2 linked regions of the Coturnix japonica genome follow. The protein of the gene in region 1 interacts with the protein of each later gene in a pairwise test. Links are inferred from orthologs where the notes say so. Each region holds a gene or a part of one and is shown on either strand. Other genes may lie near its edges. The genes, in order: HSPB11 and IFT27.

Region 1 (3,999 bases):
GAAATAGAAAGAGGACATCAGAGTGAAGACTATATGGATACAGAAGGTCAAGGGATAAAGCTTTCACAGACCTGAGAGTTAAAAAAAAACAAAACAAAACACTAAAATCTCAAAATCCAAGAAACAACTAGAAAGAGAACAACGCATGTGCATTTAGAGAGCATCCGTATCGTGGTTCACCATTCATGTGTCTGGAGATGTTCAGCTCTGTTGTCAGTCAGCTGTTATGACTGGACACCAACATCTACATTCTTTAAGAATACGGTGCAGGTTCAACCTTCGTGGTGGTGACATTTGCAAGAGCCAATTTCAGGCAAAACAACTGATTTCACATCATTAAGTTTCTCTGTCTCTCTCGCATACAAACCATGTTCCTAAACGTTCAGTTTCTCTCACCTCAGAAGGCTTCTGAATGACACAATCTCTGGACATTTGTTTCTATAATATTTGTTATGACAGTCACAGCATAAAGCACTGACAGCTGTGACCTGATTTCAGAAAATATTTTTAGAAACAAAGGATTGATCTGCCGTTACTCGAACAAATAAACAAACAAACCTCTCAGAGCAGCACAGCTCTCGCTTGGTTTCTGTTCCCCTCTGGTTATTTGCAAGCATTAGTAGCTTACATTCATCCTATTAAACAGTTTATTTTGAGTTAATGAGCAAATTTCCAGTATAAGAACTTCTGAAGAGCTTCTTTGACAGTAAGAAGTAATACCTCTCATTTAAGTATTTCACACCTTTTCTACTCAGAGTGTAAGGGAAACATCTCACAGGAAACTGAGCTTTAATTCATGTATTAACAAAGTCTGACCTAAACACAGTTTGTAATAAATATTTCTTATGATAGAGATACGAAAATATAATACCAAAAAGAAGAGGTACAAATTTAAGCCAGACTTAAGTGTCTTCTGCTGTGCCCTCTGCCATCACCCTGTGCACCGACACAAAATGATCGAAGGCGGATTTGATGATGAATCGCAAATAAGTGGCCTGAAAATCAGGAAGCTGTAAAGAAAAGGAGAAATAACGTTAGCTCATTCTTGGTAGTAACGTAACTATCAAACTACTTACAGAAGCTCATGACAAAGATAGAGATGTTTGTTTCCAAATGAGAGGTAAGTTCAGTTCTTTTAGTAACTTGAGGTGCCATTTCACACCATCATCAACAGAGAAGCAGCAGCAAAGGGCAATACATCTAATGTCAGCTTGGCAATAATCGTGTCTTTCTCATAGCTTCCACCCAGTTAGTTTAGACATCCCACCCCATGACGGTGTATCCCGTGTATACTCACAGGAAATTCTTCCATTTGAAGCTGTCCTTCCGTGTGCTGCAAATCTAGAAAACATGGGTTTGTTTTCAGCAAATAATAAGGAACAGGGTGCAGTGCTGGGAGAAATTCACCAGGTTGAAGGGCCTGTAACCCTCATGCAGCATTCTATGTCTGCAAACAGCAATGTAGCCCAAGTGCCACCGCTTCATGCTCAGAGCTTTACCTTTTTCAACGCACTCTTTAAAGTCTACTGGGTCTTTAGATACGCTTCTTTCAATCCTCAAGCTCCGCACTAAAATACAGATGCATTTAAAGTATCAGTATAAATGCTGAGGTTTACGGGATCTTTATGTTTGTTGCATCATGTTTCATCTACAAAGTACCTTATAATTAACGCCTGCTCTAATGTAGGGGATAGGAAGTGTTTCAGAGACGTGGGGATGTGACACTGAGGGACATGGGCAGTGGGTCATGGAGGGGGAAACTGAGAGGTCTTCTCCAGCCTTAATGGTTCTGTGATGTATTAATGCATTAATGTGTATTAAATGTGACTATTCAGAACTAAGACGGTGCTGTGAGTGTGTACATATAAGCAGAGATATGTGCCCCAAACAACGTGAGCCATGTGCTGCTATGGGAGCCCTTACCCAGGTAGCACTGGATGCCCACTTTGCTGATGGTCACACGCTTTGGAAATCCAATGATGAACTCCTGCGGGAACATCCCTGTTGTCGTCCAGAACGTGTCGGAACTTCTGTGGAGAAAACAGCACAAAAGCACCCGCTGCGGCTCATTGCTTACGACCAATAAACAGAATAAAGAGTGGAAAGCCGCTCTATGTGGGGTGCTGTAACCGAACGGCCGTGTGCAGCGGGGCTGCTGTGCTGCAGGGCCGGATTCAGCTCATGGTTATGAGCCCTGTGAGCAGCATCCCACGATCCCGGCCCGCAGCCCTCACCCGTCCGCCACGTTCCGGGCCGGGTGCTCCGTGTCGCTGGATGTGGCCATGACGAGGGCAGCTCCCGCCGCGCTCAGACACCAGTCAGCGGCCCGCATCCTCACCATGGAGCTGGGAAAGCAAAGGACGGAACCCAACAGGAGGCCGGCAACCGAACGGCGCCGCCCCCCGCTGCCCGCCCCCGGCTCGGCCCCGCGATGGGCGGCGGGAGCGGGCGGAGCGGCCCGGCCGGGTGACGGCGTGTCGGGGCGGCCCCGGGGCAGGTAACGGGGGGTCGGGATCCCGCTCAGCTCCCCCCGCAGCCCGGCCCGGCTCCTGCTCGCTCTCGGGCCCCTTCCCCAGCCCCCGCCCCCGGCAGCTTTACCCACCTCTGGCTTCTTTTCGCAGTGCTGGACGTGGGGAATGTCGTACTGGCTCCACTCGGCTGCCGGGCCGATCTACGTGCGTGAACGTGGGGAGCTGCGCGTGGTGAGCCCGGGTGCGGGCGGCATCCAGAACGGGGCCCGCACAGCGCGGCCTGTCCGCCTGTTCCCCGCTGGGTTCTCCGTGGAGCTGCGTCTGAACGGGGAGGACGACAGGGCCAGGAGGCCGAGGACCGAGCACTTCATCTTCACCTACACCAAGGAGGGCAACCTGCGCTACTCGGCCAAGTCCCTGTTCAGCCTGGTGCTGGCCTACATCTCCGACAACGTTGACCACATCGACTCGCTGGTGGGTTTCCCGGAGCAGATCGCAGAGAAGCTCTTTTCGGCCGCAGAAGCGAGGCAGAAATTCACAGAACCCGTGACGGGACTGCGAGCCCTGCAGAAGTTCACCGAGGCGTATGGCAGCTTGGTGCTGTGCTCCTTGTGTCTGCGGAACAGGTAGGAGCACCCAGTGACACATCAGCATCTGTGCTGCTGTGCTTCAGGTTCTCTTGTTTTCTCTCAATCTCAAACATCCACAGTTTCTTTTCCTACTAGAGTGCCTCACCAAGCTGAAAACTGGGCCTGCTTTTAAAGCTTTGCTCCTGCTGAAGTCTTGGGCAGCGATATAATGAGTCTGCCTTCCATCTATACATTCAGAAAGGGCTGCTTTATTCAGTTTAAACTCAAAGGACAGGCACGTTTATCTGCAGTGCCAAGCACAGCAGGAATGTTTGAGCAGAGGTCAATTACCTTGTTTTATCCCTTCAAGGTACTCCCTCTTTTAGTACAGGTACCTTTTATGAGCTCCATTCAGAAATGGAATTACCTCTGGCATATTTTATCATTAAAACAAGCTCGGTTAAATGTCAAATCTTTGAAATCCAGGAAGTAAGACGCTAAGACATGTTTTATGAGCCTCATTTCTAAGAGCCCACTCATAGTAAAACTCGCATTACCTATCAAGAACTGTCTTGTATTCCAACTGCCTTCCACCCATCTGAGCTGCGTGGCAGAGGGATGTGGTGGAGTGCTTCAGTATGGGCACCAGCACAGAGAAAATGCTCTTATTCACATAGGCAAAAAGGTTCCAGGGATTATAGTAAGCACCCCTAATTTCACCGCTGAGAATGTTCTCCTCAGGGATTGCTTTGCCATGGGGGCGAAGAGGTAAATTCAGGAGATATTAGTGAGTTGAGGGATTGTCTTGCCATAAACACAGGGGAGATGGAGGTAGGTGATATTACAGCGCATTCCCATCTCTAAATCTCCTGCTGAATAGTTCCGGCACAGATGCTTGCGTGGCTGCAGAGTGAATCGGATCAGAGAACCAACACAGCCAAAGAAAATAACCCGCTGTG
Region 2 (4,346 bases), on another chromosome or scaffold:
TTCTGTTCCTGTCTTATGCCACAAGACATTGAGTACTACAACTCTGAATGCAGGCAAGGTGACTGTGACAAAATAATCTGAAATGTACTACCTATGTGATGAAATCAATATTGTTATTATGCATATTGATGCTGAGATCAGGTTTTTACTCTATGAATGATAATAAAGAGTTCCCAGATTGAGGCTGAATTGCTGTTTGTTTTAGAATTTGTGTTTAGGAATCTACCCTATAGCCTTTACCTAAGAACTCATGTTTTCCAGGTGTGGTGACACAAAGAATATGACAACATGATAAGGGAGACTGAGGTGCATTGGCTGTTTTCTCTCCTTAAAATACACATACGCTTCAAAGCTGCTTAATCTGGTAACATTCCTCGATGAACTCTTCTTGCTGACCCTGCTAAGTGAGCAGCTCTTGCTGACTCAATGCTGCTGGTGGCTCATTAGTTGCATCCTGGGCATAACAGAAGCAAATGTCACTTGGCTGGAAAGGAAGCCTGCTGATTCATCCCTGTATGGAAGGCAAACTAAAGGGCTTTCATTTTTGCTCCTCTAGAACAAAGGTTTACTGGTGTCACTTGCATAACACTTTGGGTAAATTTCTGCCCTTCTTTGGCCCACTGTTAGAAAATTCTGCAAGACCTAAAGTGACAGCAGAGAACTGCAGAATTCACCTAAGCCCAAATCATTCCACAAAACAGATCACAGTCCCTGCAAAACAGAGCCACGTTAATGTTCTCAGGAAGCTTATCTTCTCTTCACATATCCTTTCAACAGCCTGGATAGTTCAAAGGGACAAAAACCAGGAATTAAGTATCTCAGTGTTCTAGCTTTACCCTGCAAAGAACACTCATGACAGTCAAGCTGGGAACACAAACTTCCTATGTTATACTGGTAATAAAAAAACCCTCAGAAAGGGGTACATTCTGGCCCTATTAAAATATCCTAGATGGTGTTTTGAAGGAGATTGGTAAGTTATCCCCTCACATCATATTTCAAAGAAGAGTATTTTGGATAGTTACAATTGCTACTGGATGTACCAACCAAAGCAGTTCTTGTTTAAACATTTTTAGCATGCTTGCTTACTTTGAGCTGAGTTGGGTTCATAATATTTAGACAGGAAAATCTGGTAAATCAGCCTGTTTGTTCCCTGATCAGTTCAAGCTTGTGCTGAAGACAACACTCTGTTCTGAGTGGAAGCTATTCTGTATTTCAATAGATAATTAGATCTGTCTTTGTAAAATGAGATAGAAAAGCATACACAGCTACAAACTCTGCAAGCTTCTTTTACTTTCAACATCGAGTGCAAATTCTTACCTAACGTGTTCCTTTTCTTTTATTTGGCAGCCTCAGCTTTTTTTTCCCCCCTCTTCTTCTTTGCCATTCTCTTCGCCCATTATATCATTACACTCCTCCCTCAAAATAAGTTTCCTTGCACTTTCCATTTAGTTTGGTCTCGTCTGCAAATACTGCATCCCACAGAATTTATTCCATCCATGTTTCTGTTATTCTGCCAGAAACCATTGCGTGTCTCCGAAAGACCTACTATGGACAAATACGTGTTTTACAAAGAAAACCCTTTCATGGTGTCTCCAAAGTAAACTCAAACAGTATCTTCCTCTGTGTTTGTAAATTACCCTTGAGATAACACGGGGATCGCTTTCTATTGTCAAGTTAATAGCATCTGTTCTGCTAACAAAAGTCCTTTCCCCTCTGCTGTTCTCCTTGACCACGGTGCAGCTCCCAGTACTGTCAGCCGTTCTATTCTTCGTAATCATTTCCTTAGGTACACAAGAATTTCTCGATCTATCTCAGATGTTTTTGCTTCTACCAATGTAATTGTATTCTCTTGTTCTCTCCAGGTTGTTGTGGTTTCTCGCCTCTTACATCTATTACATTCTCTCCTGAAAGAAAGAAGTTATTTTGCCTGGACTGCCGCATTAATTCATTATTTTCAACAAGATACAGGTACTATCCTAGTTCTTAAGAGCACTACAAAGGGATCTGTTTCTATGACATGGAACAGAGCGTTTCTGTTGTTTGCATTGTGAGCAGAATTGAAAGGGCAGCTTCAAACCCAGTTGGGATTAAGAACATAACTGAGTCATACAAAGAAAACCCGTGTGAGTTCGGGAGTGTGATGGAATCAGCCTTTGGTAACATTAAAGAAAACCTATACCAGGATCTGGAAACTACCAAATGGGAAGTGATGTGCAAGTCTCAAATCTTGAAGATGCGTAAGGTAGTCATGCTGTCCATGGTAACTGTCAACAGTAACAGCAAGGAAAAGCACTCTTTTGCATTTGCCAAAGCTTGCACTTGGCTTTGTGTGAGCCGACAGTTCGCTACTTCCAAGGAAAAAGAAAAGATTTAATTCTGGATTAATTCTGGAAAACAAAGTCGAAGCAAAGAGTTAACTGGAGAGTTGTCAGCACACCAAGGTTTTCTGGTTCTGCGCTTGTGGCTGATACCATGCGCTCAATGAAAAGCCTTTCCTTCCTGTAGCATTGACAGTCGGCTGAATTTACTCTCAGCACCTCCGTAATCCATCCTGACTGAACAAAGCGGAGTCTTCACCTCACTTTCCCCCCCCTCAGAATAACCTCCAGCTCACTTAGAGGGAAGGAAGGCTCCGTGCAGCAGGCACCCTTTGCCCTCCCCCTCCATCCTCCCCCACCCACTCGCTTCAGACCCTCCCCTTCCCCAGCCGATCTCACCGCACTTCACGCCCTCCCACGCGAACGGGGGAGGCGGTACCACCGCCCCATCCCCCGGGGTGCTGCCCAATCCTTTCCCGTCACCTCCGCCGATCTGCCAGGCCGCACGACCCGCCACCAACTCCCTCCCAGAACTCCCACCTCGTTAAGGGGTCTTGTCCATGCCTGCGAGGCGGCGGAGGCCGGACTCACCTGCCAGCAGGCACTTGGCGGAGAGCTTCACCATCGCCCCGGCCCGGGGAAGGCGGATGCGCCGGGCCGGGAATGCTGAGGCGACCGCCACCACGCTCTGCCGCGGCCCTAACAACAGCGCGACCCTAGCAACGGGGCGCCCCGCCTTCCTCCGGGACGCTAAATCCGATTGGCTACGAGCTCTGCTCGTCAAGGCTAGCCGGAGTTACTATTGGTTGCTGTGTCTTTGCCCGCCCTCCGAGCGTCCTGTCATTCAAATCCTGGCTCCCGCCCTTCTTGTGGCTGAGGCGAGGCGGAGGGCGGTGCCGCTGTGATAAAGCGGAGTGTTTTCTGCCCAGCAACTAACTACGTATGTAGGAACCGACTTGTTATTGGATAGAGCTCAGGGGACGGTACCACCTAGCCAAAATTAACTCACTTGAAAAAGAGCAGAAAAAAAATAAAGCTGCGGGCAAAAGATTACAGAAGAGGAGTTTGGAAGCACTAAGGAGCAAAACGACAAGTGTGAGCGAGGCAGAAAAGCTTCCGTCCTACACCTATCTCCATTCCAAGCAATGGGATCTTCCGGGCAGAAGAGCCCTTCACTCGCATGTATGGCTGGGTGTAGGGCCGTGTAAATGCATGGCTGTGGGGTGAGGCTTCAAGTGTGTTATTTGCGACTTGGTTTGCCCACCATTCTTCATTGTGCTCCATGGAAGCTGCTTTTAGCAGGGGGTTGGACTAGGTGATCTCCAGAGTTCCCTTCCAGCCCCTACAGTTCTGTGATTCTATTTGTGCAACCCTTGTGTTATCCTTGTTTGTTATATTGTCCCAGTTTACTGACAGGTTTGCATGCAAAGGCTTTGAGGCTTCATTATGATGTACTTGAGATTTATCGATCGCGTCTGTAATGTAAATGTAAAGTAAAATCCATCAGCATTTACCAAGGTCTCAAAACACCTCTACCAATTCACACTGGGGACCTTTACCAGAAGGCATAGATTATGCTAGAAGTGGAATTCTCATTGCTATTGAGAATTTCTGCTTTGAACCTGGCTATATCCTTTATCACATTCTTTACTTCGAGCATCCTGGTACTTTATCTTGTTCCCCCTTTTCCTGCTTAGCTCTGCATGCACATAGCATGCAGCAAGGACTCGTATCCTTGCTATTTTTCAGCTGTCCTTTTGCCCCACACATTATATATATATTTTTTCCTCTGCTTCATTTCTCGTAGGTAAAAGTCCTTCCCTTGTCTGCACTGACAGTGATAGATTAAGGATGGAATTACTTATCTACACCTTATAATCCAAGCAGAATTGCATTCTGCTGTTAGCAGTCCACAGGGGTTGCTGCTGAATAAATTGCAGTACTGGTAACTGTGCTCACTGAAGCTTCTCTCATCTTGAATACATGAAGAGGGAGGGGGAAAGAAACCCTGCTTGCTTGAAGAAAACC

Evidence for each region.
Region 2: the proteins of HSPB11 (region 1) and IFT27 interact in binary tests that used the Homo sapiens proteins (3 or more experiments, as listed by UniProt). The two-hybrid records come from large-scale screens. The link is inferred for Coturnix japonica from reciprocal best matches to the Homo sapiens genes IFT25 and IFT27.

Annotation. Positions count from the first base shown.
Region 1 is NC_029523.1:22,426,621-22,430,619, forward strand, and holds HSPB11 (intraflagellar transport protein 25 homolog), read right to left. Parts: upstream 2,637-3,999; 5' UTR 2,603-2,636; intron 2,498-2,602; exon of another isoform or gene 2,441-2,497; intron 2,346-2,440; 5' UTR 2,342-2,345; coding exon 2,235-2,341; intron 2,031-2,234; coding exon 1,924-2,030; intron 1,569-1,923; coding exon 1,500-1,568; intron 1,342-1,499; coding exon 1,298-1,341; intron 1,011-1,297; coding exon 903-1,010; 3' UTR 760-902; downstream 1-759. Other genes in the region: LRRC42 (leucine-rich repeat-containing protein 42), read left to right, coding at 2,637-3,097. UniProt on the Homo sapiens protein: Component of the IFT complex B required for sonic hedgehog/SHH signaling.
Region 2 is NC_029516.1:47,142,887-47,147,232, reverse strand, and holds the start of IFT27 (intraflagellar transport protein 27 homolog), read right to left. Parts: upstream 3,056-4,346; 5' UTR 2,944-3,055; coding exon 2,910-2,943; intron 1,905-2,909; exon of another isoform or gene 1,638-1,904; intron 1,546-1,637; exon of another isoform or gene 1,318-1,545; intron 1-1,317. UniProt on the Homo sapiens protein: Small GTPase-like component of the intraflagellar transport (IFT) complex B that promotes the exit of the BBSome complex from cilia via its interaction with ARL6. Not involved in entry of the BBSome complex into cilium. Prevents aggregation of GTP-free ARL6.